Linked DNA regions of Callithrix jacchus. The protein of the gene in region 1 interacts with the protein of each later gene in a pairwise test. Links are inferred from orthologs where the notes say so. Each region holds a gene or a part of one and is shown on either strand. Other genes may lie near its edges.

Region 1 (4,106 bases):
AACACACTCAATGTATTAGGCAACTCACAAAACCAGCACTTTGTCACCACCAAGCGAGCAAAGCTTTCCAAATATTCTGCTTATGTGTATTATCGCTATAGAAAAGCTGAAAACTGAATTGAGCTTTTTAAAAATAAGAGTATTGTCTCCATCATCTCTACAGAAATTTTCTCAAACTTTTTTGAAAATACGGTCCTATAACAGTCAGTGCAACTAACATGTAACATGCCTATACAAAATGTATGAGTTTTTGGATCCAATGACATGTTTCCCACTGGGTAGAAAAGTTGTCTTTCCTTTTCTACTACACAGTTTATTGCTGGAATAATAATAGAAAATCATTTTCGAGAATTCAATTTTTTTAAACAAAATCAGAAAGCTGTGACAATAGAATAGCTGAATTAGAAAGATGAAAAACTCCTATTAAACACTCTGAGTACATAGGGACAGGAAGAGGAGAACAACAGACACCTGGGCCTACTTGAGGGTGGCAGGCAGGAGGAGAGTGAGGATGAAAACCACCCAGCAGGTACTATGCTTATAATCCTGGGTGACAAAATAATCTGTACACCAAACCCCTGTGACACGCAATGTATCTAACAAACCTGTACATGTACCCTCAAACCTAAAGTAAAAGATTGAAAAAAAAACTGATATATGACTTAATCTGTGTACACTGAAAGGATTGAATAGAGCTGTTTCTCCTCCAATGTCCTCTAATATCCCCCAACAATTAACTTTCCATGTGTATGAAAGAAAAGCCATCCCTCTCGATTCACCATTGTTAGAAGCATTCTTACATTACACATTAATGATCACAAAGGTAAGAAAAATTTATCAAACAGATTATGGTAAATACTTAAGTTAAATGCTACATATGAGAAGAAGGCATGTAAGACAGTCTGTCATCCACTAATTCACATAACCTACTGTAACAGTTGTACCGTTGAAAACAATTTTCATAAACTACAGATACTTCCTAAGGCATACCTGCAATATCTTCTGGCTTGTTGGTATCAACCCTATAAAAAAAAAAGTTACATCAAAATTTTAACATAGGACTACACAAAATGTCGTGTTTGTTGGGAAAAAATGTCTTATGTGAAATGTTCTGCATAGACTAGAACGGTGATGACATGATCCAAAGCTGACTTTTCCTAAAAGGCTCTATCCGACAGACAACAGTGACTTCACACTTTACCCCTCATATTCATCTGTTTCATCAAGAGGTTCTCTTTCCCCCTGCTCAGCAGTTACATCTTCCTCCTTTGTTTCTGTAAAAGGGTTTCTTTCCTCACGTTCATCAATTACTGGATCCTTTCCTGCATCAAAATTTAAAAGACAAATCCGTTTTTAGAGGAAGACGCTGTTGTGGACATTTTTCATGGAGAAACGTACCGTTTGTGGACTTGTTTTTGGCTGTCTGCCAACTAAAGCTTTAAAGCAGGGCTATACGTGGAATCACCGGCTCCTGACCATTTAATGGAGGCACTTTTGGAAGCCCTTGGGGTTCAAGTCCCAGTAAACGACACACTACAGGTCAGACTCCTTGGACGCCAGGACCTCAGCCATGGAGAAGAGCTACTCTGAGAGCACCTGTAACCCTGCCTGAGGTGGAGCCTCCCGTGGGAAGTCTAAGGCCCTCGAGCCTGCTTTGAAAACCGGGATGTCTTAGCACGTGCACAGTGGACTCCAAAGCCATGAAGAGGCCGGGGACCTTGGGTTGCCAGTGTGATCCCCAGCAGAGATCAGACAGACGTCTCCTTGGGCGTGCGCCTGCTTCCGGGTCCCCTTGGGCTGTGTTTACCTGCATGCTCTTTGTCCTGGGCAGCCATACCTTGAGCTTCCAAGTGGGCCTTGGCAGCCCTCCTGCTGTGCTTTCTGCCCCTGCGTTCCATGGCTGGCCGTCCTGGGAAACTAGAGGCGACCCCGGAACCTGGTGAGCGCAAAGACGACTAAGGAAGCTAAGGAAACGAGGCGTCAGAAAGGAAAGCCATTGGGATCGCGGGTTCAAGATGGGTGGGGTTGGCCCTCCCCGAGTCTCCTGTGGGAGCAGGAGGGAGGGAGAAGATGCCAGTGTCCCCTCCCGTCCTGGCCCGTCCAGCCCGTCCCCGGGGGTGGCTGCAGAGTTCACAGCTGCCTCACACACCTGAACTCCACGGCCTCTGAGGCATCCTACCCGCGCCTTTGGGACAGAGTTTGGCCTTGCCCTTGGATCCCCAAGAGACCCTGAGTGGCTGGGAGGGCGGCGGAGTGACACAGGATCTCCCCAGCCATCTCCAGAGGAATGTCAGGAGCTACACTGCCACTCGCTCTCCTGGATGCACAGGGCACCTCCAGTGACCTGAAGTGTCCTGTTCTGACAGGATGCTGGGCAGGAGAGACCCACTCAGACCGTCCCCCATAACGCCCCCGGCCCGCCTCACTCCCCTCCCCGGCACCGTCAGCCCCTCCCCCTTGCACACCTACAGAAGCACCCAGAACACTCCCTCGTCCTGGGGGGCCACCCAGGTGGCTCCAGCTCCCTCCCTGCTCCAGCCACCCCAGTCTACCCTCAGTGCCTCGCCCTGACCTAGGCCCCAGGTGAGGACCCCAGGACCATTTCCTCACAGGTCAGCTGGCGCCCAGCTCTTCACACCCTGGTTCCCAGACGGTCTTGTGCCCACCTTCCCACCTCCCTGCCTCAAGTGCGTCACCTGAGGGACCCCTGATGTGGCTCCTTCACAGAACCTACAGAAGACACTGGCACTACGAGACTGTCTTAGAAAGAGACCCGGCCTGGCTTCCCACGCTCCTCACTGATTGGTCAGCTCAGTGCGCATGCGCATGCGCATGCCGGTGAAGGACTGTGTGGGGCCAACCCCCTGCTGCCACGCCTCTCCTTCCCCTTAAGGGACCGACCAGGGCTTACTGTTGACTGAAGTTGGGGTGGCCCTTTGGGGCCTCCATCCCCACAATCTTCTGGCTCCTCCTCTTGGGGTGGGATGCAAGGACTCGGAATGGAGGCCAAGTGGACAAGGCCTCCTAGCATCTCGCCCCTGGACTCGTTCCAGCCACCCCTGCCCCTTTGGCTGGAATGGCCATCACCCTATGGGTGGTGCCCAGGCTCCTTTCCATTCCCTGTGTGCTTCCAACATGCCCTGCTGCATCCTTTTTATCAATGGATTGCGCTTTTATGTTTTCTGTTTTTGACACTGAGTCTCGCTCTATTGCCCAGGTTGGAGTGCAGTGGTGCAATCTCGGCTCACTACAACCTCTGCCTCCCGGGTCGAAGCTATCCTTCTGCCTCAACCTCCCGACGAGCTGGGATTACAGGCTCCCAACACCAAGCCCTGCTAATTTTTTAAATTTTCTTTTCTTTTCTTTCTTTTTTTTTTGAGACAGAGTTTTCGCTCGTTACCCAGGCTGGAGTGCAATGGCGCGATCTCGGCTCACCGCAACCTCCGCCTCCTGGGTTCAGGCAATTCTCCTGCCTCAGCCTCCTGAGTAGCTGGGATTACAGGCACGCACCACCATGCCCATCTAATTTTTTGTATTTTTAGTAGAGACGGGGTTTCACCATATTGACCAGGATGGTCTCGATCTCTTGACCTCGTGATCCACCCACCTCGGCCTCCCAAAGCGCTGGGATTACAGGCTTGAGCCACTGCGCCTGGCCTAATTTTCTTATTTTTATTTTTTGGCTGATCTCAAACTCTTGACCTCGGGTGATCCGCCTGCCTATGCCTCTCAAAGTGCTGAGGTTACAGGTGTGAGCCACCCCACCAGGCCCACAACCTTTTTTGTTTCCTCACTACTTTTCTTGCCCACAGGCTTGCCCAGGCTTGCCCACAAACCCTCATGCTCCAGACTTTTCCAGACATATCCCACAACCTTCACCCTCAAATGCCTTAATATCGTTAACTCAGCTTGTTTCCACCTCCAGTCTTCTATAATAGGTCGTAAAGGTTGTTTTGGAGTTGGGAGTGAATAAATACTGCCTAGAGTTGGTAAATCGAGCTACAGAGGTTCATTATGTTATTGAAATTATAAAGGCAGTCATCAGGAAAACTAATCAACAGCCTTTAATGTCTATATAACGAGAAAGAGCACACACAAAGCATACA
Region 2 (4,216 bases), on another chromosome or scaffold:
AAGCAGCCCCTTTCCACCCAAGGAAATAAAGCCACTTGGATTGTCACAGTCTGTCTTTGGAACTAAGTGAAGCAAAGGTGATATAAAAAGTCCCCCCTCCACCCTACATTCCTCCCACCCACCATACCTTCCCTGGGGGCAGGATAACCCGACAGGCCATGTCCCACGTCATGGAGAACATGATAGGCATGTAGTGGGACACAAAGGGCTTGTGGCGGCCACCTTCCTCCTTGCTGAGGATGTAAACCTGGAGAAGAGAGCAATGAGGGTGAGCTGGGCTTGACTGGAATGCTGGGGACAGCTTGGCTCAGCCCTGCCCACCATCACCTGGAGCCCTCACCTGGGCCTCCACCTTGGGGCACGCCTGGATGGAACCCGGCTTGACCATGACCAGGCCCCGCCGTACATCCTCCCTCTTCAAGCCTCGGACCAGGGCCCCGAGGTTATCTCCGGCCTCGGCCCGCTCCAGGTTCTTGTGGAACATCTCAATGCCTAGAAGGGAAGGGGAAAAGGAAAAGGGAGAAGGGAAGCGAGTGTGAGGCAGAGGGAAGGCACAAGGGATCTGCCAGGGGTAAGGCCACCCTGCAGCCAGCCCCTGCTCCCCAGGCTGGCCTCCCGTACCTGTCACCACAGTGCGGATATTCTTGCTATGTCCCAGGAGCTCACAGTCATCTCCCTTCTTTAAAATGCCACGCTCTAGCGTACCTGTCACCACAGTGCCACGGCCTGGGAAGTAACAGGACAGGATATCAGGGACCCAGAGCTACGCTGCTGCTATAGAGAGTGTGTAGGAGCAGGCACAGTCCTCACCAGGGATGGAGAACACCGACTCTACGGGCATCAGGAAAGGCTTCTCCAGGTCCCGGGTGGGCACGGGGATGTAAGTGTCCACAGCATCCAGAAGCTTCTGCACAGACTTCAGGCCTAACTCAGGGTCCCGACCCTGTTGAGGGGAAGTGACAGGACTCTGAAATTCGTATTCCGCTCCTCTCAATTACCAAAAACCACTTCCCAGACACAGAGCAGAGCTCTGGTTGACCATCTAGCCTGACTCTCTGCAGCAGCCACTCTGCCTGACCCGGCCTTCACCTCAAGGGCACAGAGAGCAGAGCCTACGATGACTGGGGTCTCCTGTCCTTTATAGCCAAACTCAGTGAGCAGTTCCCGGATCTCCAGCTCCACCAGCTCCACCATCTCAGAGTCCTGGACAGCGTCAGCCTTGTTCACATACACCACCACATGCTCCACCCCAATCTGTAGATGGCAGAGAGACAGGGACAGTGTCTGGAGGGGCCCAACTACCCATTCTCCCCCTTTGCACCCCTACTCAGGGTTGGAGTACCTGTCTGGCCAGCAGTAAGTGCTCTCGAGTCTGGGGCATGGGGCCATCATTGGCTGCTACCACCAGGATGCAGCCATCAAGAGGTGCGGTGCCTGTGATCATATTCTGGGTAGGAGGAGAGGAAACAACCAGGTTCAACGAGTTCTTCAGTCCACATCCATGCAGCCAAGTGTAGCACTTAGAAATTGAGGCCCCCTTTCTTGGCCATCTCACCACCACCCATTCTGAGTGGCCATGCCCACAAACCTACCATCTTATATCCAAACACTGAATATCTTAACCCCCTCCCCACAAGCCTAAGATTTATCCTGAAATGAGGCAGCTTCTGGCCCTGTCTCCAGTGTCCCCTGCAACCCTCACCTTAACATAATCTGCATGACCCGGGCAGTCTGTGTGGGCGTAGTGGCGGGCGGCAGTGCTATACTCCACATGGGCCGCATTGATGGTGATACCCCGGGCTCGCTCCTCCGGGGCATTGTCAATCTCCTCGTACTTCTTGAACTTAGCCCCACCTCCCTCGGCTAGAACTAAAGGAGGAAGAGAATACACCTCTCAGCTAAAATTCCAGTGCTAGAAGCAGAGCTTAGACCACACCCCTGAACTCTCCCCACCTAAGACACAACCTCCTCCAATCTCTAACTCTTCCAGCAGAGAGAACTATGGGTCAGAAAGAAATGTTAAGAGAGCCTTAAGGGTCGGCCCTATGACTTCTTTAGAAGAGTACAGACTCTGCTTGCAGAGCATTCCCTACGGCTAGAGAGAAGCCGCTGGAGGATCACAAAGTTCTTCCTGATCAGGGGAAATCTGTCTCCTGCATCTCCCAATTCACCCGCCGCATAAGTTCGGGCTCTTGGGGCCACAGTAAACTCCTCCAGCAGTAAACTTGGGGGCCACAGTAAACTCCTCCAGCAGTAAACTTGGGGGCCACAGTAAACTCCTCCTCCACTCTGCTGGTCTCGCCTCCCTGGCTCGACGTTCCAGCAGTTGATAGGGCGTTGCTAGACGCGCCCACCCCACTCACTCTTCGTGATGGCTGCAGTCAGCGTTGTCTTGCCGTGGTCCACATGGCCAATGGTGCCCACATTCACGTGTGGCTTGTCGCGCACGTAAGTCTTCTTGGCCTCCAAGGCCAAGCTGCGGCACAAGAGGGACAATGCCGGGGCCTTCAGCGGCCGCAACAGACCCTGCAGCAGGAAAGTCGGGCTGGCGGCGAGACCTGCCGGGACCCAAGCTTGGAGTCAGGCAGGACGAGGCTCAGACCAAACCCAGCCACCTACCACGCCCCCAATGTGTTCCTGGGCCGCCATCACCCTCCCCGACCCCTCACCGCTGAAACGGGTCGTCGCACGCAGCAGGGTGGCGGCCGCCATTGTGGCCATACACGCGCCCCGGGAACCGGGGAACCGGGACAAGCAGCCGGAGCGCGCAGCGGATGAAGGGCGCTTGCGGCTAGAAGGCACTTCCGGCGGAAGTACAGGGCAGGAGGGCAAGTCCGGTCCCCTCTACCCGCCAGTGTCTATGGCCGTCTCCGCGGACTTCTGGCGCGCGGCTGAAGACGTCATGTAGGGGGCATGTGTCTCGGGGGCGAAGAATGAGGTAGAGGGTTTCCACTATTCGGGCCTCACGGGCTGATGGGCAACGTAGTTCTCTTTGGAGGCCGCGGGGGGCACTGGGGAGCGCCCCTAAAGCACCGACGCAGCGAAGGCTCATGGGCATGGTAGTTCCTGGGGCGGCGGGCTGTGGAAGCGCCCAGGGTGGGAGTCTGGCGGGCTAGGCCGGATCCGAGGGAGGGGCTTAGGCTACGGGAGGCAGCGGCGGCTCCCACTGCCTAGGAATCTCCTGAGACCGACAGAGAGAGACCACGAGTCCCCCGGAGTACGACTCGCTACGCGGGTCTTGGGAGACATCTGGCCACCTCTGCCGCAGCTGGAGGTAGGACCAGGTCCTGGACGCCTTTCGCGGGTGGGGTGAAGTGTGACCCCTCTCTCTGCTGACACTTTGTTTTCTTATCTGTAAAATTGGAATGGTAGTATCCACTTCATAGGGCGATTCTTTCATCTGGCCCTGAAAGGAGATGAACTGGGTAGGAATCACGGATGTGGTCCTGGGTGGTAGTCAGGGTGGGGCCCTGTGAGGTCAGGCAGCTTGCGGGGACCCTGTACTGCTTGACCTCACAGGGCCAGAGCCCACCAGACAGACAGCTTCGGTGCCCATCCTTATGGCCACTCAGCTGCCTAAGGAGGAGTTCCGTTGGGCGCCGCCCCACCCACCTAATTTTACAGATGACACCAAGGACGAGGAGCCAACTAGGGGAGCCTTTAAGGGCAGCCTGAGTCTCTTTTATTCCGTCTGTGGCCCCAGCACCTAACAGGGTGGAGCATGCAGTAAATATTGAATGAATGAGTGCAGGGGTAGTCAATGACCCTTGACTTTCACATCCATCATCTCATGGCAGCTTCCGCATGGCACTCTGAAGTGTTAATTGTGGCTGCTTAACCCTGATTTATGTTTCGGAACTCATCAGATCCTGAGACTCAGTGGACAGTGTTTGTTTCAAAGAGATTCCCTAATTCCTCCCCTGGAGATTATGATTCTGTGCACATACTGGGAAGGTATATAACCAACACCCTTCTAAAACGTTTGGCACGGTGGCTCATGCCTATAGTCCCAGCACTTTGGGAGGCTGAGGTGGGAGGATCGTTTGAAGTCAGGAGTTCAAGACCAGCCTGGGCAGATTAGGAGACACTCCACCCCTGCCCCCCGCATCGCTACAATCTTTTTTTTTTTTTAATTAACCAGGCATGCTAACAGTAGCATGTACCTGTAGCCCCCGCTACTCAGGAGGCTGAGGCAGAAGGATCTCCTGAGCTCAGG
Region 3 (3,500 bases), on another chromosome or scaffold:
ATCTTAAGGAATAGGTTGGGTGGATTTGAGTACATTTATTTGGATTTTGTTACTTTTTGGAGTGAATCAACTGGACAGTTAAAAATATAAAATTTATTGAATTTGTCTTCCATGTGAAAAGTCATATGTATTCATTCATTACAGAAACATCAGAGAAATAGAAGGAGTTAAAAAAAAATCATTCTTAATTCCCTTACTGAAGGCAAGCACTGTTAAAAATTGCTTTGGTGGGCTGGGCGCGGTGGCTCACGCCTGTAATCCCAGCACTTTGGGAGGCCGAGGCGGGTGGATCACGAGGTCAAGAGATAGAGACCATCCTGGTCAACATGGTGAAACCCCGTCTCTACTAAAAATACAAAAATTAGCTGGGCATGGTGGCGCGTGCCTGTAATCCCAGCTACTCAGGAGGCTGAGGCAGGAGAATTGCCTGAACCCAGGAGGCGGAGGTTGCAGTGAGCTGAGATCGCGCTATTGCACTCCAGCCTGGGTAACAAGAGCGAAACTCTGTCTCGGAAAAAAAAAAAAAAAATGCTTTGGTGTCTTTCTTTGCAGGCTTTTCTTTTTTTCATATCTTTTCATGTCTTGGTTTTATATCATTGTAAAAAATGTTTTATTATGGTAAGCATTGTCTATACTATTATATGTTCTTAATTTTTAATGTCTGAATCATATTCACTGAGTGAACATAATGTCAGTAGTTAATTTTTCTTCTATTAATGCACTATTTTTGGTGACTATAGTTAATGTTTTGAACATAAGGCTTAAGTTTTCAAATTATTTCCTTGGTCGTAGAAATGCTGGATTGGGCCAGGCAAGGTGGTTCACACCTGTAATCCCAGCACTTTGGGAGGCTGAGGCAGCTGGATCAATTCAGCTCAGGAGTTTGAGCAGAAGTTTGAGACCACCCTCGCCAAAATGGTGAAACTCTGTCTCTGCTAAAAATACCAAAAGATTAGCCGGACATGGTGGCGGGTGCCTGTAATCCCAACTACTTGGGAGGTAGATACAGCAGAATCACTTGAACTCGGGAGGTGGAGATTACAGTGAGCCAAGACTATGCATTGCACTCCAGCCTGGGCAATAAGAGCAAAACTCTGTCTCAAAAAAAAAAAAAAAAAAGGAATGCTGGATTGAAGAGCATGAACATTTCTTAGGGTTTTTTGTTTGTTTGTGTTTGTTTTTGTTTTTGAGACGGAGTCTCACTCTGTCGCAAACTGGTCTCAAACTCTTGACCTCAGTTGATCCACCCGCCTCAGCCTCCCAAAGTGCTCAGATTATAGGCATGAGCCGCCACACCTGGCCTCATATTTTTTAAACATATTTTATAAAAATATGTATAAAACATATTTTTATGTTGTAAGTAAAAAAACATTTTTTTTGAGACAGGGTATCACTCTGTCACCCAAGCCAAAGTGCAGTGGCACATCCAGTATTTCTTGTAGAGACAGTTTCATCACGTTGCCTGGGCTGGTCTTGAACTCCTGACCTCAAGTGATCCGCTTGCCTCGGCCTTCCAAAGTGCTGGGATTACAGGTGTGAGCCATTGTACACAGCCTGTACTGTAACTTATTTGGGGATTCTTTTTCTCCTTTAGGTATAGTCTGGATAATAATGTTCTCACCCTGGAACAGAGAAAATTTTATGAAGAAAATGGGTATCTTGTAATTAAAAATCTGGTATCTGATGCTGATATTCAACGGTTTCGGTCAGTAACACTATTTGTTATTTTACAAAAGTATGTATTGTGTGCACGTAATGAGAATACGTGGTGGATTCACTCCTGCATGTACAGATTTTTTTAATTATTTGGTTTGTTGGGAAATATTTAAAAGCATGGGCTCAGGTGCCAAACTGGCCTTTTTATTTTTTATAGAGAAAGGGTCTTGCTCTGTTGTGTAGGCTGGAGTGCAGTGGTGCGATCATAGCTCACTGCAGCCTTGAATTCCTGGGCTCAAGCAATCATCCTGCCTTAGCCTCCTGACTAGCTGGGACCACATGTGTTCACCACCACACTTGGCTAATTTTTAATTTGTTTTTAGAGATGGGGGTCTCACTATGCTGCCCAGGCTGGTCTTGAATTCCTGGCCTCACCCTCCTGAGTTGCTGGGATTACAGTTGGGAGCCACCACACCCAGGCTTCAGTGTCAGCTCTGCCACTTAATACCATGTGTCCTGGGGCAGTTTACTCAACATCCCATGCCTCCGATTTCTCATCTGTAAAATGGGGATAGTAATAGTACTTGTCAGGCATGGTGGTTCACACCTGTAATCCCAGCACTTTGAGAGACTGAGGTGGGTGAATCGTTTGAGGTCAGGGGTTCAAGACAAGCCTGGCTAACATAGTGAAATACCATCTCTACTAAAAATTTAACTCCTTTCCACATCCAGCTCTAAGAGTAATAGTTCCTAGGCTCAAGTGATCCACCTGCCTAGGCCTCCCAGGGTGCTGGGATTACACGAGTAAGTAATTAAAAAAAAAAAAGTTAGCCGGGAGTGGTGGCAGGTGCCTGTAATCCCAGCTACTGGGAGGCTGAGGCAGGAGAATTGCTTGAACCTGGGAGGCAGAGGTTACAGTGAGTCCAGATCGCACCACTGCACTCCAGCCTGGGCAACTGAGCAAGACTCCATCTCAAGATAATAATAATAATAGTACCTATGTCCTACTGTTGTTAGGACCAAATAAGGTGAAATATACAGAAAGCACTTTGAATAGAGCCCATGGTAAGTGCTACAGAAGTGTTTGCTATTATTATTACAATGTAACCAAATCATAACATTTCCCTACTAGTATGCTAAGCTAAGGAATGATTTAATTCTGGTAGTGGATTCTAACCTGACAATTTCTCCTTGCTTTCACTGGAATTATTCTCCCTCGAGCTGGAGGTCAACTGAGTGCAGAGACACTACCCCTCAAGTCTGCAAAGCTTTCTGAAGAGGAGGGCTGGGCAGGTGCTTCAAGCTAGTGGTAACAACAACATTTGCAAGTTTAATTTTCTAGGAATGAGTTTGAAAAAATCTGCAGAAAGGAGGTGAAACCATTAGGATTAACGGTAATGAGAGACGTGGCCATTTTGAAATCAGAATATGCTCACAGTGAGAAGACGGTCACAAAGGTCCAGGATTTCCAGGAAGATAAGGAGCTCTTCAGATACTGCACTCTCCCCGAGGTCAGAGACCGCTCTTGCTTTGCTTCCGCTTCACTGCCAGTGCGTATGCCTGCCTGTAAAACCCGCTGATCTGGCCCGGCGCAGTGGCTCACCTGTGTAATCCCAGCACCCTGGGAGGCCTAGGCAGGTGGATCACTTGAGCCTAGGAACCATATCAGTCTTAGAGCTGGATGTGGGAGTAAAGTTAGCAGATTTTATTTTATTTTCCTTTGTTTTGTGGAGATGGCATCCCACTCTGTTGCCCACACTGGAGTGCAGTGGAGATGGCATCCCACTCTGTTGCCCACACTGGAGTGCAGTGGAGATGGCATCCCACTCTGTTGCCCACACTGG
Region 4 (4,183 bases), on another chromosome or scaffold:
TTCAGATTCAGGTAGGAAGGCAGGAGGCAGCTGCAGGGAACAGGCACCAGCTTCACTCCTCTGCCTGGGGGCCTCATCTGTTTCCTCCTTTTCTGCTCCTCCCCCCACCCAGGATGATTACCTTGACCTCTTTGGGGACCCCAGTGTGACTGGCAAAGTTGGCACTGACATCCAGGACAACAAATGCAGCTGGCTCGTGGTCCAGTGTCTGCAACGGTCCACTCCGGAACAGCGCCAGATCCTGAAGGTGCTTGAGAGCGGGCGGGTGGTGGGTCCCTGAGCTGGTGAGAAAGGGCCAGAGCAGTGGTTCCCAACTGGAGGCAGTTTTGTCCGAGGGGACATTTGGCAATGTCAGCAGACGTTTTTTGTCATCGTCATCACAACTCCGTGTGTGGTACAGGCATCTAGTTGGCAGGAGCCAAAGATGTCGCCAAACATGTAACACACAGAACAGCTCCCCAGACAGGATTATCTGGTCCCAAATTTCAATTGTGCCAAGGTTGAAAAACCCTGGAGTAGAGGATGCTGGGGTCTGAGCCAATATGTGGGGAATATTTGGGATGGTGAAGGGAAGCTTGTGATCTTAGCTATCTAGAGACACTTGAAAATTGGAGGCAAGAAGGGAGTGGGTGGCTTTGGAGATGTTCTGGAATATGTGAATGAAGGGAATTGGTTGGGGGTGAGTGTCCTGGAGGCTCTGGGGAAGGCCAAGCCCAGCTTCCTGTCTCCAATCCCTTCCAGGAAAATTACGGGCAGAAGGAGGCTGAGAAGGTGGCCAGAGTGAAGGCATTATATGAGGAGCTGGATCTGCCGGCTGTGTTCTCGAAGTATGAGGAAGACAGTTACAACCACATTATGGCTCTGATTGAACAGTACGCAGCGCCCCTGCCCCCAGCTATCTTTCTGGGGCTTGCGCGCAAAATCTACAAGCGGAAAAAGTGACCTAGAGACTGCAAGGGCGGAGAGGAGGCTCTCAATAAATAAATTATTGTGTAATCTTGTGTTCTGTTAATGCTTGGCCCAGCCGGAGTCTGGTTCTCTGAATGCTCGGGGTGGGCTGCTGGGAGGACTCGGTGCACGGAAGCAGAACCCAGGGGCCTTGGCATCCGCGCCCCTTGGGGTCAAAAGCTTGGGATATAGCCAACCCTCTGGGCGAGTGAAACCAGACGCTAAGCGCTAGGGGCGGGGCTGAGCTACGCCACGCCCATGCGCGAAGGGGTGCAGCTGCGCGGCGAAGAGTGGGTTGTCCTAGTGCCCCTCCCCTCCTGCTCTGTTCCCCGCCGGGCGGGGACCGTGGGAGCCGCGGACAAGCCCAAGGCCGGAGCGGTTCCAGGAGGACCCTGGTGAGGAGGGCTCGGCCCATGGGTGTAGACCGATAGACCAGGGCACGCTGGGCGGGGCTGGACAAATGAATAGAGAAAGGGTGCGGTGGTGGCTGAATGATGGAGACGAATGCGGAGAGAATGATGGACACACGGCTGTTCCAAGGGGCGAGGGCGCAGGCTGGAGCCCAGCCGAGGCAGCCGGAGGATGCGGAGTTGAGAAGCTGACGGCTGCTGCATCCTTTTCTCCTCCAGCCGCCACCCCTTTTCTGCATTTACCAGGCAAACTCTGCGTATTGCCCCACCCCCATCCCCTGCCTCCTTTCAGGGCATCTGGGTGGGTCTTCTTGGGTCCCTTAATCTAGGAGTAAGGGGTAGGCTGGAGGGCAGGGTCAGATTGCGGCAGCAGGGACCCAGCAGTCCATTCAGGGCCCCGACCTCTTCCAGGCCCCCGCCCCCCTTCGGAGATCCAGAGCGCAGCCGCGTTCTCTGACCCTCCCCGCTCCATTCCCGGGGGGTTACATTCGACTCCACCTGCAAACACTGCAGTGGAAACTAATGGCCAGTCGATTGCGATTTGCATCTCATTGAAATATCTTCCAAAGCAGTCAGAGCCTTCAGGCCTGCTGCTGCCGCCGGTCACCTCGGTGTCCTTCCGGCAGCTCGTCCTCAGTGGCTGGGCTTCGCCACCCCTGTCTTCTAGGTCTACACCTGTGGTTGCCAGGTAGGTGGATGTGAGAGACCCAATCCTCCTGGTTCTCTAGAGGCCATCCCATCGCCGCCGGCACAATGCTGTCCCCTCAGAGAGCTCTACTCTGCAACCTCAACCACATCCACCTCCAGCACGTCTCCCTGGGCCTGCACTTGTCCCGCCGTCCTGAGCTACGGGAGGGGCCCTTGAGCACACCCCCTCTCCCAGGAGACACTGGGGGCAAGGAGAGCAGGGGTCCCTGCAGTGGCACCTTGGTGGACGCCAATTCCAACAGCCCAGCTGTGCCCTGCCGGTGCTGCCAAGAGAACGGTCCAGGCCTAGAAAACCGGCAAGACCCGTCACAGGAGGAAGAGGGGGCTGCCTCTCCCTCAGACCCAGGCTGCTCCTCCTCGCTCAGCTCCTGCTCAGATCTTAGCCCAGATGAGTCCCCTGTCTCTGTCTACTTGCGGGACCTCCCTGGTGATGAGGATGCCCACCCTCAGCCCAGTATCATCCCCCTGGAGCAGGGCTCCCCACTGGCTTCAGCAGGCCCTGGCACCTGCTCACCGGACAGCTTCTGCTGCTCTCCTGATTCCTGCTCCGGATCTGCTTCTTCACCCGACCCTGGCCTGGATTCGAACTGCAATGCCCTGACCACCTGCCAGGACCTCCCTTCCCCAGGCTTGGAGGAAGAAGACGAGAGCGCGGAGCAGGATCTCCCTACCTCGGAGCTCTTAGAGGTGGATGATGGAAAAATCGACGCTGGGAAAACGGAGCCCAGTTGGAAGATTAACCCCATTTGGAAAATTGACACAGAGAAAACTAAAGCTGACTGTAAAATCACTGAAAACAATAACACTGGTTGGAAAAACAACGGGAATGTTAACTCTAGCTGGAAAAGTGAACCTGAAAAAATCGACTCTGGTTGGAAAAACAACACAATAACTGATTCTGGCTCGAAAACAGATGCAGGGAAAATTGATGGAGGATGGAGAAGTGACGTCAGCGAGGAGCCGGTGCCCCACCGGACAATCACGTCCTTCCACGAGCTGGCCCAGAAGCGCAAGCGGGGCCCAGGGCTGCCCCTCGTCCCGCAGGCCAAGAAAGATCGCAGTGACTGGCTCATAGTCTTCTCGCCCGACACTGAGCTGCCCCCGTCGGGGTCGCTGGGCGGCTCCTCTGGACCTCCTCGGGAAGTCACCACCTTCAAGGAACTCCGGTCCCGAAGCCGAGCCCCACCCCCGCCAGTCCCGCCTCGAGACCCCCCAGCTGGCTGGGCTTTGGTCCCGCCCCGGCCCCCACCCCCACCTGTCCCTCCCCGAAGAAAGAAGAACCGACCAGGACTGCAGCCCATAGCGGAAGGGCAGTCCGAGGAGAGCCGGGCTGTCAGCCCCGCGGCTGGTGAGGAGGCCCCAGCCGCGAAGGAGCAGAAGGAGCCGGGCGCGCAGGCCGGCCTGGAGGGTAAGAGGTTGTCAGAAGCGGGAGGAGGGCTGGGCTTCGGCCGCTCACGCCTCCTAGCCTTCCAACCCCGCCCCCTGTCTTCCCTCCATTCTGTGTCTCCCATCCTCCCCGGCCCTTCTACCAGGGAGCGCTCCGGGAAAGGGAAACTGGTCATTGGGTTACGGGACTAACTCTTTGCTCCCTCTTTTTCCCGCCCCTCCTTGCCTGGCTGCCCATCCCGCTGCCCTCCTTCCCTCTGCGCCTGGCCCCGCCAATCCTGCCTGCAGCCGGTCCCCTCCTGCTCCCTCGGCCCCTGGTTTTCCGGTTCTCGGCCGACGGGCGCCCCCTGTTGGAGGGTGGGGGCGCGGGCGCAGCTGGGTCTCTGCTCCTGGCGCCTCTGGCCGGGTGGCCCGGCGCCGGGCTGCGGCTGCTGGGGGCGCCGACCCCCCCAGAGGAACAGCTGCTGCCGGTCCGCCTGTCCCCAGTGGGAGCCTATTCGCCTCCGACTCGGGGAGCCTTGCCCTGCCTGGCCAGCCCCGAGCTGGCACTGCTGCTGTCCCCGCTCTTTCCCAGAAGTAGCACCTTCCCCGCCGCGGCTCCCCCACCCCGCCAGGTACCCGCCCCCCCGCTGCCACCGCAACCTCGTCCGCCGAAGGCCCCTCGCTGGACCAGGAGCCCATCGCCTCAGCCCAGGCTACGTAAGACGGACCCGGGCAAGCCCCGCGGGCCA
Region 5 (4,108 bases), on another chromosome or scaffold:
CAAAGCAGAAGGGAGGCAAGGGGTATGGGAGTAGCTATTGCTGACTATTCATTTTTCAACCAGAATGTTTCAAAGACTAAGTACCTGTAAGAAACTGAAAAGTTTCTGATTCCTCTGCAGTGTTTGCTAAATCACTGTAAGTCAGTACTTTCTTTTCCTTTCCACTGCCATGTCTGTAGGAATAGGTAGCTAGATATTGAACAAAGAGCTCCTAAAAAAAAAAAAGAAAAAGTAAAATGAAAGATGTGCTTTGAAAATTTACCCCAGAGCTCAATTTTTAAAATTATGCTGTTGATAAGCTTATAACAGGCTTAAAATTACATTAAGACTTCAGATTATCTTGGTTTCTCAAATTAAATTACAAGAAATCACTGGGGAGGCCAGACATGGTGGCTCACACCCAGTAATACCAACACCTTGGGAAGCTGAGCCAGGCGGATCACTTGAGATCAGGAGTTTGAGACCAGACTGGCCAACATGGTGAAACCCCATCTCTACTAAAAATTCAAAAATTAGTTGGGCATGGTGGCAGGTGCCTGTAATCCCAGCCACTTGGGAGGCTGAGGAAGGAGAATCACTTGAACTTGGGACGTGGAGGTTGGAAGTTGCAGCACTCTAACCTGTGCAAAAGAGTGAGACTCCGTCTTAAAAACAAATAAATAAATATATCACTGGGGAAAGGAAAAACATGAGGTCAGAAAGCAAGCAAGGCTGGTATCAAAATTGGCGGAGAAGCAGGCATTTTCCAGAGTCTTAGATGTCTAACTTATGAAAAATACGAATCATAACTGTTCAATGAGCAACCTCTAGAGTAAAAGAAGCAAAAAGCCATTCAAAAATTCTGTTTGGCTCAGGAATACATTTTGTCTTCTATTTGCATACACTGTTTCTAAGGTGGTTCACCTATAACGATAGTGACCACACCTCCTATTCTGCTGACTTTTCTAGAACTGACAATCCTCAGACCTAATGCAACAACCGGACATCTTCCCCTCCCCAACCACAGTTCTTAAAGCAGGGCCAGGTCTTCATTTTTACAGAGGATAAACTAAGCCTCTTCCTCAAGGTTTTGATTTCAATGCATCTAGTTCAGTTAATAAGGGATGAGGATGGGCATGGTGGCTCAAGCCTGTAATCCCAGCATTTTGGGAGGCCAAGACAGACGGATCACCTGAGGTCAGGTGTTCAAGACCAATTTGGGCAACATCGTGAAACCCTGTCTCTACCAAAAAAAAAATACAAAAATCAGCCGAGTGTCATGGCGGGTGGCTGTAATCCCAGCGAGTAGGGAGGCTGAGGTTGCAGTGAGCAAGATCTGCACTGCACTCCAGCCTGGGGAACAGAGTGAGACTCCGTATCAAAAAAATTAATTAGAAATCTTAAGTGCCTGCATAAATCCTCATTCCCTAAAAGTAATAAAATGAAATTGTACAGGAAAACACAAATGTCCCCAGGTGAAATGCTGAATATGTAATTACTTCCCTGGGCTCTAGGAAAACATGGCTCTGGTATAATACAGCAGGCGAGAAATCTGTAATTTCCCATTTCCCTTAGTTCTGGTCGAACACTGTAGGGACATTATGTACTTAAATACAAGCCGGGACTGGGAAATAGGATCTAAGACAAGTTAAAGCCTTTAACTGTGTAGCTAAAACATGGCCCAGTCTCAGAACAGAAAAACATCTAGCCTAACACTATCAACACGCAATGTTTTTTAAAAAGACAAAATCTATTTTGTACCCAGGAGGATGCTTAAGAGGCTATAAATCTAGGTCCCCTAGACTTCCTTAAATTCTGGCTGGGGGATGTGCTTTCTCTTAGAGGAGGTGCCAGGTGTGGTGCGGAGCGGGGGGCTCGAAAGCCTGGGAGCGCTGGAGCTGGCGCCTGACCCGCGGGAGAAAAGCCTCGAGCCTTGGGTGGAGCGCCCGGCTGCCCCTCCCACGGAACACTGGAGGAGTTAGGACCCTCAAAGAAAGAAGCAGACCAACGGCAAGAAAAAGGAAGGCCAGGAATAGGGAGTCGCGGGTGAAAGAGCCGCCAAAGAAACCAAATGAGGCCAACTCCACTTGGCGCCGAAGTCTACGGGTAGGGCCGGAAGCTGAGCGCGGTGCGCGAGGGACTACGGGAGCATACAGGTGGGCGGAACAAAAGGCGCGCAAGGGAACTTGGGAGCTTATGGGTTTGCGGGACGGAAACACGCGATGGAGGGCGGGAGCGCGACGGGGTGGACGGGGCCGAAGGTGCGCGAGGAAAGGAGGAGCGAAAAGAGCGAGAAAGGGCGGGAGCGGGTCGCGGTGTATGGGACGAAGAAACTAGAGACAGGGAGGGAGCGGCGCGGGGTGGGCGGGGCGAAGACGCGCGAGAAAGGGAGGGGGTGCCGCGGGTAGGGGCGCGCTGCCACTCCGGCGCGCGCCGGCGTGGGAGGGAGAGGGGGGGCGTGGGAGGGAGAGGGGGGGCGCGCGCGAGCCCGGTAAGGGCAGCGGGAGGCGCTCGGGTCTAAGGGGACTGGACAGTGCCGGGAGCCTGGCGGGGCGGGGCGCAACGAGCAAAGGCGGCCCCACCCCCGCCCCCTCACCGTGGCCTTGGCCGTGAGCACCAGCGCCTCCTGGTTGATGCTGGACACCTCTGGGGAGCTCTTCATGATGACCCGGATGCGTGACAAGGGCAGCGAGACGAGCCGCTGCTCCCCGCACTTGTCTTTGCCCACGACCACGTCCGCCATCTTCCCGCTCATTGCGCGGGCGGCAGCCGGCGGGCCCGACCGCGAAGTGGCTGTCTTACCCGGCCAGCCGGTGGGTGCGAGGAGCCGCGCCCGCTGCCCCGTGGGAGTTGTAGTGTGGGGAGGCGCGGTCGCGCGGCCGGGAGCGGCCTCTTCGGGAGACTACGAACCCCGTGATGCCTCGCGCGCGCGCCCTGCGCATGCGCTGGCGCTCGGACCCTGCCCCCCCTTCTCCCACCCCCGCGCCGAGTGCGAGGCCCGACGCGGGCTGGGCGGAGGCGTCCCACTCAGGAGCCTGCGAACCGTGATCGCGGGACGGGATTTTGAGGTCCAGGGCGCTGCGAATGGGCAAGCAAAGCTCTTTGAGTCCGAGCCTCATCGCTCGGTGCTGTGTGTTAAGCGCCTGCGCTGTGCCAGGGCCGGGCGTGGTGCCGTGGACTTTCCTGCAGCACAGAGTCGTCGGGGGACGGCCAAGCGGACTAGCGAAGGCGTCCTGCACCAGTAGCTAGGCGGCCCGTGGAGGAGCAGAGAGCAGCAGCGCGGGCGATGCGGCGAGGCCGGGCTCGCTGCGCCGCGGGGTAATGGGGAGAAGCGCCTTCCTGTGGGCGGGGCTGGGGGAGCTGCCCTGAGGAGGGTCCGGAGCCCGCGGCAACTGCCTCTCCGGGACTGCTCCGAGAGAAGGCGTCCAGAGCCGGGTGTGCTCGCTGAGGTCTGACAGGCAGCCCGGGGCTAGGTCCTGATGGATTTTTTTCTCTGAAAAAAATGGGAAGTCGTGGAAGGCTTTGAGCTAAGGAGTCCCGGACAGTTTTAAAAGGATCCCTGCAGCTGCCAGCTGGGAGGGCGTGGGAGCGCGTAAGGGCGGAATCATCGAGACCAGGTAGAAAGTAATTAGAACCCGGGAACGTGGCCCTCAGGAGGCCGGCTGGACCAAGGGGACAGCAGCTGAGAGGAGAGTGGCAGGAGATGGTTAGGGGCCAGAACAGGGAGTGCCTTGGGGACCTCAGAATTCACTCCTTTAGAGCGGGGAGGCCCTTGGAAAAGTAAGGGGTCCAACTTAACTTTTACCAGGATCTTGGAAAGTGGTAGGATTTGGGGTCTGAGTTCAAGAGGGAGCTGAGGTGACGTGGACTACAGCACAGCTTTCTGAGGTATCAGAAAGGCCTCGGTAAAGAGCCGTGTACTCAGGGAGCACTGTGGCAGGAGCACATTTTGGCATAGGTTTGAATTGGAGCCTGTTGAGTGTAGTGTCTTCTTCACCACTGTGACCTCAGGTCCCGGCCCAAATAATTGAGCACAGAAATACATGTCAGGCATTGCTAGCGCAAGGGTTCAACCGGTGAGCAGGGCTGCCATGGCCCCTGCCCTCTTACAGCTGACGTGCGTGTCTGA
Region 6 (4,280 bases), on another chromosome or scaffold:
ATAGTAATAGACAGAGAAGACATTTACAAGAATGCTCTTAGCAGCATCATTTATTTTTTTAAAAAAGGAAATAGCTATCTGTAAAGGGCTGATGTTGTGATACATGGATATGACAATAAGATATGGTAATCAAAACCACATTTGAATAATATTTCAAGTTAAGGGAAAACAATTGCACCTTCTAGAATGTCAAGTGAAAAAATATCAGTATCCCAAAGTATGTTGAATTAGTTAAATATATTGAATTTATAACTGCATAGGGGGGAAAAAGACTGGAAAGAAATAGATGAAAATGCTAACAATATGGTAATGTGGGGTGATTCGGTTTTTTTCTTTTTTGAACTTTTGTTTTCCAGACTTTCTAGAAGTATATATTACCTATTAATGAAATGAATTCTATTTCTGAAAGCATGATTAAGTGAATTAGGTGTTCTCACAGGCGCCTGCCTATTCCTGTGCATAAAGAGGGGCAAAATAAAGTGTTGGAATAATCACTGGGGATTATCCTTTAGGATTACTAAATTTACGTTTGGGGGGAATTATTCAATCAGGTTCCTCTCCTCAGGTACTCCCTCCTTTCTAAAAGACCCCAGTTCTGGCACATCACCTAGAAGGGAGATTCCTGGAATAGAGTGGGGTCCAAACTGGAGGCAGCCTCTCAGCATGGACCCGCTTCAACTTCTGCGTGGCAGCCGTTTTGCAAGGCGTCTGAACGCGTCTCCTCTTTAGACTTTTTGTCTCTCCTGGTAGTCTCTAGAAGCCATAAGAGTGAAAGACATCTTTCCTCCCTAGTGCTAAAAATGTCAAAGTGCGCGCTCAGGCGGCACTGCTCCTAGAAAGATCCAAGCCCCTTCACAGAGTTGGTAGCGCCGGCTGTCGGCTAAGCCATAGGGCGCCCAAGGCCCGCTGCAGGCCCAGAAGTGACCCAAGTGCACTCGTCCCTTACTCTGGCTGGGGCCTGAAGGCACTGGAACCGGAAGCTGACGCTGCACTTAAGATGCAAAGCGTAGAATGGCACTCTGGCTAAGACACTGACTCCACACCACTGTGGCCCTGGGACAGGGAGCTATGGTCCCTCTGGGATCAACTAGGTGGAAAGAGAGAGAGAGAAAGAAAGAGAGGGCTGGCGCAGGGGAGAGAGAAAGGTAGGGGAGGAAGAGGCAAAGGAAGACAGGAAGGATGTCCCTTCGCAGAGGTCGCACTTTGTCAGCAGTTCCCCTCGACTGCTCTGCCTTCCATTTTCCCTTCTCTCAGTTCCTGGACACGCCTCGGAGGACCAGAGAGATGATCCTGAGCCCCTCGGGGCGTCTGCTCCAGATCCTCCACGCAGGCGCCCGCTGGAGCGCCTGCCGGGGATGGCGTGGCACCGACTCTTGAAGCTTTTTAAAAAGTAAGAATTTCTACATTATTATTTCTATGAAAAAAAAAAGGGTAAAGAGGAGAGATTAGATTCTATAGACGCTCCAAAGTCTGCCATTTCCGAGGAGGGTTTGCTTCCCACCCACCCAACCCACAGAAGCAGCCTGGACGGCCCCTTATCCTCAAGCGCTCTGACTTCCCGGCTCTCCCCTGACACCGACTCCACTTAGGACGGGTAGTCGCGTAGGTAAGAACTCTACAGCAGCCACTCTGCTCGGGGGTCTTGGGGATCTTACAATCCCTAACCCGAGCTCCAGAAGGCCAGACGTTCTGTCTTGGGGCGTCCCTCCTTGCCCTCCGGCCGCACCCCGCGCCCGGTCCCGACACACCCCAGCCCGAGCGCGCCCAGACGAGGAGGGGGCACTCTCCCCACCCGGCTCAGCCGCTTTCCTTCTTCTCGCAGCTCTCCAAGAGCTCGGTCATGAAGGAGATGTAGACAATGGCCAGGCGGAGGGTCTCGATCCGGGACAGCCTTTTCTCGTAAGCAAACGTGGGCACCTTCCTCCGCAGCTGGTCAAAGGCCTCGTTGAGGTTGAACATCCGCTTCCTCTCGCGGATGTTGGCGGCCTGGCGCTGGGCGTAGGTGATCACTCTTTTCCTCTTGGGGCGGCCTAATAGGGAGGTGCCTCTCCCGCGCTCCTCTTCCTCCTCCTCTTCCCCGTCCCCCTGGTCCTCTTCTTCTGGGCCCCCCTCCTCAAACCGCTCCATCCTCCTGGGTCTTCCCTCTCGGAGCGCAAGGGCTGGGTCCCTGAAGGAGGCCCCAGGTGCGAAGTCGCAGAGGAGAGGGCGTCTCGGGGAGGCCAGGGACAGGTCTGCAACGAAGCCCAGCACCGTGGCGTCCACGCAGCTCTCCGGATAGGCCGCCATCGCTTCGGCTTGGCCCTGCCTCTCATCGGTTTTCCGCAGGGAGGAGCGAGGCTGCTGGTGGGGATTCTTAACAGCCTTGAATCTGATGGGGCATCATCACCGAAGGGCCAGGGAACATTAAATATTTATCACCAAGCTGATAACAGGATTAGTCGCAGCGATAAGGAATGCTCTGACAACATCCCTCCTCTCGAAGCTTATGGAAGATGACAAGCTTGAGCACGCATGGAAGACTCAAAGGGACAGGACTCCAGTTCTGAGATCCTTTTCTCTGCGCCACCCGGGACAGTTCCTTCTTGGCAAAAACCCCCAGCTCTTACCTGCTGTGCTTTTTGTGTCTCTCCTCACCCCTGCAGCCAACTAATGTTCTCTAGGCTCCTTATCTCGTGTAGTTCTTTAATTTCGTTTTGGATTTTCAAAGCGAGGATGTTTTCCAGCGCGATGGCTTCTCCTTGACTTCAGGGTAGGAGTCTTGAATCTTGCCACCATCTGCCAATGGATGTGGAGCAAGTGCATGCGCTTTTAATGATGTCCTGAAGAGGGGCCCTGCCTGCCTGGGATCGAGGGTAGCTGTTTGTCTGGTATCCCAGTGCAGCGGCTGCTGAAAGGCAAGACCTTCCATTAGCTTAAGTAAGCATGGCAGGGGGGCCGAGAGTGCATTCCCTAGAGTCGCTGTTGGAACCGGCTTTCTTTTTCTTTCCAGGGCATCGCAAACAGCTCTCCTGCCACGTTACAAACCCTGACTTCGAAAGTCTGTTTGGAGGCAATCAGCTTAACAATTGAGATACTTGACTTTCCTTTCCTTACTTTACCTCCTAGTCATGTAAAATAGAGGATTTTATTCCAAGAGGAAAAGTTATAATGGCAATAAAATGAGAAATTTAAGCTCAGGACATTTTGCAAACTCTCCCCACAAACAAAACCACTTCAAGCTCCTTTCAGAAATGCGGTTTGCCCTTGATAAGCCAAGGAGTCCTCTGCTGAGAAGTCCTCCGACTTTTAAGTTGCGGAGCGAGTATTTGTTTCTGAACAAAGAAAAAACCTAACACTTCCATCTGGCGTATTTTCCTCATTGATTTGTGTTGTCCTACATTAAGATTTAAGAGCAGAAACAATTATTTATTGCATTATATATAAGGAAGACTTTTGGCTATCATTAGGTCATTATTTTTTGAGATAAATTTTAAATTTGGCATAAGAAAAATAAGATTTTCCTGATTTTATATTATCTCTAGTATCCCTAATATTTTAACAAACGGGTTCTTTTTTTTCCTTGTTTGCCAATAATTATATTTACTTAATTACACAGTACTGTGTAAAGATTTACTTAAAAGACCCATTGGGTAAAAGTGACAGATTAGAAGATAATTTTTAAGGTAGAGTAGAAGAAGCAGCCTAAAAAGATGAATGTAGAAACATTCCGGTTCAAAAGAGAACCGCTGAGGACATCAGTCCCTATGAAGGGGTAAGTTGTGGCTGTGATGGTTCACTCAGGACATTGGACAGCTCCCAGAAACCGCCTATTTCTATAACAGGTAATCTCAATTCGTTTTGTTCTTCCTAACCTCTCGGTGTGTAACCAAAACGTATAACTTTGAATTCTTCTTTTTCTTCTTTTAGCCCATTTGTGTCTGGTGTCTCTCGATCTTTTAATAGATTTTATCTCATTTGCTTGTGTTTACCCTTCATTCTCCAGTTTGCATTGTGATAACTCAGGCAGAGAATAATTGAAATTTGTGATCCGGAAGATGTTAATGAGACTGAGATCCTGGATATTACTTCATTGATTTTTACTAAGCTTCTTTCAAAGGGAAGGCTGAAAAACAAAAACTAATAGGTTCGTCAACAGTGGCTATGAAGCTAGTAAATGGGAGAATTGATTTTTGTTTCAAAAAAGTACTAACATGCTTTCTAACCCTTGTTTAAATTAATATGTTATTAAATATTTGGGCAAATTTATTGTTGATTTTTAAATTATGTTAAATGCTTCTCAG
Region 7 (4,100 bases), on another chromosome or scaffold:
CAAAACCAGGAAAATCTGGAATACTAATTTGTGTTTCTTTTGTTGAAGCAGTTATTAAAATTTCTAGTAAAGTTGTGTTGCATTATCTCTTTATTTTCACTTATGCGAACTATTCATAAAATGAATGAAAAATGTAAAAAATAAAAATAAAGTATCAGGCCAGGAACCATGGCTCATGCCTGTAATCCTAGCACTTTGGGAGGCCGAGGTAGGAGGATTGCTTTAACCCAGGAGTTTGAGACCAGCCTGAGCAACACAGCAAAATTCCATCTCAAAAAAAATAAAAAGTAAAAAAATGAAAAAATAACATGTCCCCCAGATGGTAAGCATTCCAGATAGCTCATACATGGAGTCTAGAAACACAATTTTATATATCCTAAGCAGCCTTCCAGAGCAATGTTCTCAATATGGCTATTCATCAGAGCCAAATTACCAGAGGCTCTAGTTATTATAAAAACAGCTTCCTGGGCCGGGAGCGGTGGCTCACGCCTGTAATCCCAGCACTTCGAAGGCTGAGGCAGGCGGATCACAAGGTCAAGAGATCGAGCCCATCCTGGCCATCGTGAAACCCTGTCTCTACTAAAAATACAAAAAAATTAGCCGGGCGTGGTGGCATGCATCTGTGGTCCCAGCTACTCGGGAGGCTGAGGCGGAAGAATCGCTTGAACCCAGGAGACGGAGGTTACAGTGAGCCGAGATTGCGCCACTGCACTCCAACCTGGCAACGGAGCAAGACTCCTCTCAAAAAAAACAAAAAACAAAAAACAAAAAACCTCAGCTTCCTGAACAGATACAAATTTCATGGAAGGACTTAGGTACTCTGCTTTTTAATAAATATCCTGGGAGTTTCTGAAGATCAGGCATTAAGAAGTATGTCCATATAAAGTCCACTCTAAGTAGAATAATTAATTCTTACCCCTAGGATTCCATTTCTCAGCTACTGAACTGGCAAAAATCCAAAGTTTGACAATACTCTCCGACAGCAAGGCTTTGAGAAACACTCATACACTACTAGTGGGAGCGTAAACTAGTACAATTCCCATGGAGAATGAGTTTGCAGTAGCTTACTAAAATTCTAAATTCAAATACCCTTCAACTCTGCAGTATCATTTCAAGACCTGAACTGTACAAACACATGTGCACAAAGGAAGCAACATATGTAAAAGTTCATTCACTGCAGCACTGACTGTAACAGCCAAAGACCTGAAAGCTATATATGCTGATATTAGAAAGTTCCAAAATATTATCAATAACTGGAAAAATAAGAGCAAAATGTGGAGCAGTATATAAAATGTTAACGTTTATGTTAAAAGAAAGGAGACAGATGCAGTTTGTATGTTTGCCTGTGTAGATAGGATATTCCCGGATGAATACCCAAGAAATTTAAAACAGTTGGCTGCCTGCCAAAAGGAAGGAGACTTCATACTATATACCTTTGTATGCTGCTTAAATTTTGAGACACGTGACCGTTTACCTACTCGAAGACAATATTTACAAAAGATGTTGGCAGCACTTGAAAGAAAATTAATCAATGTGAACGTAACTATTACTAAGTGTAGAAAGTATTTTAAAGTTGTTTGGGGAGCTTTCCTTTTTTATAATCTCTTGGCATTTAATACCTATAAAAAGGACCCAAATCTGGCAACAGGGAAAATAGTTGTGCCACGCACATTTTAAGAAACTGTTTAATTAAACAGTACATTTAACTGGCAACCATTAGCAAATTCTTCCCCTTTTATGACTTTTACATCTTTTCCTATAATGCCCAAAACTAAAAATGTCTCTGAAGTTCAATTTCGTTTATAATGGAGAGACTAAACAAGCGGATGTTAGAGCTCGGTAAACCGAGTGTACTTTCTAAGGAAAGTACGTAATGGAAAAAATAACCGTAAATGTGTATGCGGTTATATAGAATAGATGATCCTAGAAACTCCTTTCAAAAATGTGCACATTCGAAGCCTCCATGACTCAATAATCCCACTTTGATCAAAGTAAAAACTTTCCGCATCCATATGCCTTCCCTTTCCCATCATTACAAGGAAATCCTGAAAGGAAAGCTGTGAGTCATCAGATCTCAGGAGTATTTCCTTCTAAACATACTCTGCGGGAAACGTTTCTCCTTCAGGTCCAACAGCACCAGGAAAAAGCTCAGGGCGAACAACCTCTCCCCACCCGCTTCCAAACAAGTCAAGGTTTCGCCCACTAAACACCTCCTTCCTGCTTTCAAATCCAGGACGTTCCTAATAACCCAAAAGGAAGCACAGCCCAAGAAACGCGGGGAGACAGGACGTTCCAAATAACCCAAAAGGAAGCGCAGCCCAAGAAACGCGGGGAGAAACCGCGGCCAGAGGCTCTTTCTTTACTTGTCTCGAGATCTTAGCGAGCGAGAACAACGAGGATCGAGAGACGGTCCCAGGAAGAATCCCAGAGCTGGGGCCGCGGTTGCCGGCGTTCACCCGGCCGTGCCTCGGGGCTCTACCCACCCCAGCCCCAGCCCCAGCCCGGAGAGGAGCTCGAAACCCGCGGGGTCCCGGGGAGCAGAGCGCGCTGCTCCCGCAAATTTGCCCCGCAGCCAGCACGGCGCAGGGAGGGGCGCGGAGCCCCTGAGGAGAGGGCGTCGCCGCCGCCTCCCGAAAACGGCTGCGACCAGGACGCTCTCGGTTAAAAGGCCCGGGGACCATCACGCCTCTGCCCCACGTCCCCGCGCCCGGGACCCGGCACCGGCGTCCCTCTTGCCCCCTTTCGGCCTCTCACCTAGCCCACAAGGACTCACTCACGGCCGCCGCCTCCTCCGGTCACTGGCACGGACTTCTGAGGCCCAAGGGTAGCAGAGCGGCGAGAGCCGGAGGACCGCCCCCGAGGCGCGTCACGGCACCGCCCCCGCCTTCCGCCCGCGCAGGCGCACGGCCCCGGGTCAGGTGATCCGGTTCCCTAGGTAACCGGGCGGCGGGAGTAAAGGGACCTGGGCGTGGGTAGTTCCTGCAGCTACCGGTATCTGGCAATGTAGGGCCGTGCAGGTGGCCCGCTGTGCCAACTGGCCGCTGCCCCGCGGTTATGCTCCGCGTCTTCTCCGCTCTTCTGGCAGTTCGTGCCCGCTGGCCCCTTTCCACCCACTCACTACCGTGTGTATAGCAGCTCACGGTCGCTTGGTTCTGGTCGCCTACAATTCAAACAGGTCTCGGGAGCCCATGCTCCCTCTTGGGATGCCTTCGACTTCCACCACTGCTGTCCTAACCTCACTCTCCTCTTGCTGTACCTCTCCACCATAGGCTCACAAATGTTCCTCTCACTCACTACCCCTTCTCAACTCCTGCCTTATTTTTCTGTTTGAAATGTGGGGGGTCGAAGGGGAAGTTACTAATCTTTGTCCGCCTGAGCTGATATTCCTTCGCTGTTGAGAGTTCTGTGTGGTGCTGCGCAAAAGTAATTACTGTTTCCTAATACAAAAACATAACGATGATTTCTTGAGGGCTGATGATGTGCCAGCCATAGCTCTACGAACTTAGTGTATAGTCTTATTTGGTCTTCACATCAGTCTATAAAATAAATACAACATCGCATTACAGACAGACTGAGGCACAGTTTACCCAAGAATAATCATAGTTACCGTGGAATACTGTAGAGTGCTTGACAAAATAGCATTTACAAGCAGTTTATAGCTAAATTAGTGCCACAATCATATCTGGCAAAACTAATAAAAAAAATCTGAGGGTAAAAGAGGTGACAACTAAAGATGAAAACTTTCACATGTACCCCAAAACCTAAAATGCAATAAAAAATTAAAAATAAAAAAAGAAAACTTTGCTCTCAGTAAGGTTATATGTAGTTAGGCTGATGAAAATGGACGTTTAAAAATAATCACAAGGTAGATTGGGAATGAGAAAATAAAACTTTTTGTTTTCAGATGAGATGGTTATCTAACATAGAAAATCCAGGAAAATTGACACCCCTCCCCTAAAAAATAGAATGAAAAGCAATTACAGTAAATTTTCATGAACAAGTTTAAAACAAGCTGATCCTAAGCCAAAATGCTTGGGACCAGAAATGTTTCCAATTTTGGATTTTTTTTGGCATTTATGAAATTCTCATTATATAATTAC

The links.
Region 2: the proteins of FAM9B (region 1) and TUFM interact in binary tests that used the Homo sapiens proteins (3 or more experiments, as listed by UniProt). The two-hybrid records come from large-scale screens. The link is inferred for Callithrix jacchus from reciprocal best matches to the Homo sapiens genes FAM9B and TUFM.
Region 3: the proteins of FAM9B (region 1) and PHYH interact in binary tests that used the Homo sapiens proteins (3 or more experiments, as listed by UniProt). The two-hybrid records come from large-scale screens. The link is inferred for Callithrix jacchus from reciprocal best matches to the Homo sapiens genes FAM9B and PHYH.
Region 4: the proteins of FAM9B (region 1) and RUSC1 interact in binary tests that used the Homo sapiens proteins (3 or more experiments, as listed by UniProt). The two-hybrid records come from large-scale screens. The link is inferred for Callithrix jacchus from reciprocal best matches to the Homo sapiens genes FAM9B and RUSC1.
Region 5: the proteins of FAM9B (region 1) and CHRAC1 interact in binary tests that used the Homo sapiens proteins (3 or more experiments, as listed by UniProt). The two-hybrid records come from large-scale screens. The link is inferred for Callithrix jacchus from reciprocal best matches to the Homo sapiens genes FAM9B and CHRAC1.
Region 6: the proteins of FAM9B (region 1) and FERD3L interact in binary tests that used the Homo sapiens proteins (3 or more experiments, as listed by UniProt). The two-hybrid records come from large-scale screens. The link is inferred for Callithrix jacchus from reciprocal best matches to the Homo sapiens genes FAM9B and FERD3L.
Region 7: the proteins of FAM9B (region 1) and SDCBP interact in binary tests that used the Homo sapiens proteins (3 or more experiments, as listed by UniProt). The two-hybrid records come from large-scale screens. The link is inferred for Callithrix jacchus from reciprocal best matches to the Homo sapiens genes FAM9B and SDCBP.

What each region holds. Positions count from the first base shown.
Region 1 is NC_133524.1:9,247,216-9,251,321, forward strand, and holds the start of FAM9B (protein FAM9B), read right to left. Parts: upstream 2,801-4,106; 5' UTR 2,697-2,800; intron 1,965-2,696; 5' UTR 1,899-1,964; coding exon 1,808-1,898; intron 1,323-1,807; coding exon 1,202-1,322; intron 1,023-1,201; coding exon 991-1,022; intron 1-990. UniProt on the Homo sapiens protein: May play a role in meiosis.
Region 2 is NC_133513.1:29,105,866-29,110,081, reverse strand, and holds the start of TUFM (elongation factor Tu, mitochondrial), read right to left. Parts: upstream 2,801-4,216; 5' UTR 2,722-2,800; coding exon 2,670-2,721; intron 2,559-2,669; coding exon 2,364-2,558; intron 1,870-2,363; coding exon 1,703-1,869; intron 1,448-1,702; coding exon 1,343-1,447; intron 1,255-1,342; coding exon 1,090-1,254; intron 944-1,089; coding exon 811-943; intron 727-810; coding exon 622-726; intron 493-621; coding exon 341-492; intron 248-340; coding exon 128-247; intron 1-127. UniProt on the Homo sapiens protein: GTP hydrolase that promotes the GTP-dependent binding of aminoacyl-tRNA to the A-site of ribosomes during protein biosynthesis. Also plays a role in the regulation of autophagy and innate immunity.
Region 3 is NC_133508.1:14,325,849-14,329,348, reverse strand, and holds part of PHYH (phytanoyl-CoA dioxygenase, peroxisomal), read left to right. Parts: intron 1-1,594; coding exon 1,595-1,705; intron 1,706-2,998; coding exon 2,999-3,167; intron 3,168-3,500. UniProt on the Homo sapiens protein: Catalyzes the 2-hydroxylation of not only racemic phytanoyl-CoA and the isomers of 3-methylhexadecanoyl-CoA, but also a variety of other mono-branched 3-methylacyl-CoA esters (with a chain length of at least seven carbon atoms) and straight-chain acyl-CoA esters (with a chain length longer than four carbon atoms).
Region 4 is NC_133519.1:15,748,535-15,752,717, forward strand, and holds the start of RUSC1 (AP-4 complex accessory subunit RUSC1), read left to right. Parts: upstream 1-1,383; intron 1,384-1,385; coding exon of another isoform or gene 1,386-1,905; exon of another isoform or gene 1,906-1,984; 5' UTR 1,985-2,111; coding exon 2,112-3,474; intron 3,475-3,740; coding exon 3,741-4,151; exon of another isoform or gene 4,152-4,183. Other genes in the region: FDPS (farnesyl pyrophosphate synthase), read left to right, coding at 1-11, 113-247, 742-942. UniProt on the Homo sapiens protein: Associates with the adapter-like complex 4 (AP-4) and may therefore play a role in vesicular trafficking of proteins at the trans-Golgi network. Signaling adapter which plays a role in neuronal differentiation.
Region 5 is NC_133517.1:57,028,427-57,032,534, forward strand, and holds the start of CHRAC1 (chromatin accessibility complex protein 1), read right to left. Parts: upstream 2,801-4,108; 5' UTR 2,735-2,800; coding exon 2,576-2,734; intron 2,136-2,575; exon of another isoform or gene 1,820-2,135; intron 212-1,819; coding exon 85-211; intron 1-84. UniProt on the Homo sapiens protein: Forms a complex with DNA polymerase epsilon subunit POLE3 and binds naked DNA, which is then incorporated into chromatin, aided by the nucleosome remodeling activity of ISWI/SNF2H and ACF1.
Region 6 is NC_133512.1:39,274,513-39,278,792, reverse strand, and holds the start of FERD3L (fer3-like protein), read right to left. Parts: upstream 2,801-4,280; 5' UTR 2,287-2,800; coding exon 1,798-2,286; 3' UTR 1-1,797. UniProt on the Homo sapiens protein: Transcription factor that binds to the E-box and functions as inhibitor of transcription. DNA binding requires dimerization with an E protein. Inhibits transcription activation by ASCL1/MASH1 by sequestering E proteins.
Region 7 is NC_133517.1:14,796,746-14,800,845, reverse strand, and holds the start of SDCBP (syntenin-1), read right to left. Parts: upstream 2,801-4,100; 5' UTR 2,774-2,800; exon of another isoform or gene 2,755-2,773; intron 1-2,754. UniProt on the Homo sapiens protein: Multifunctional adapter protein involved in diverse array of functions including trafficking of transmembrane proteins, neuro and immunomodulation, exosome biogenesis, and tumorigenesis.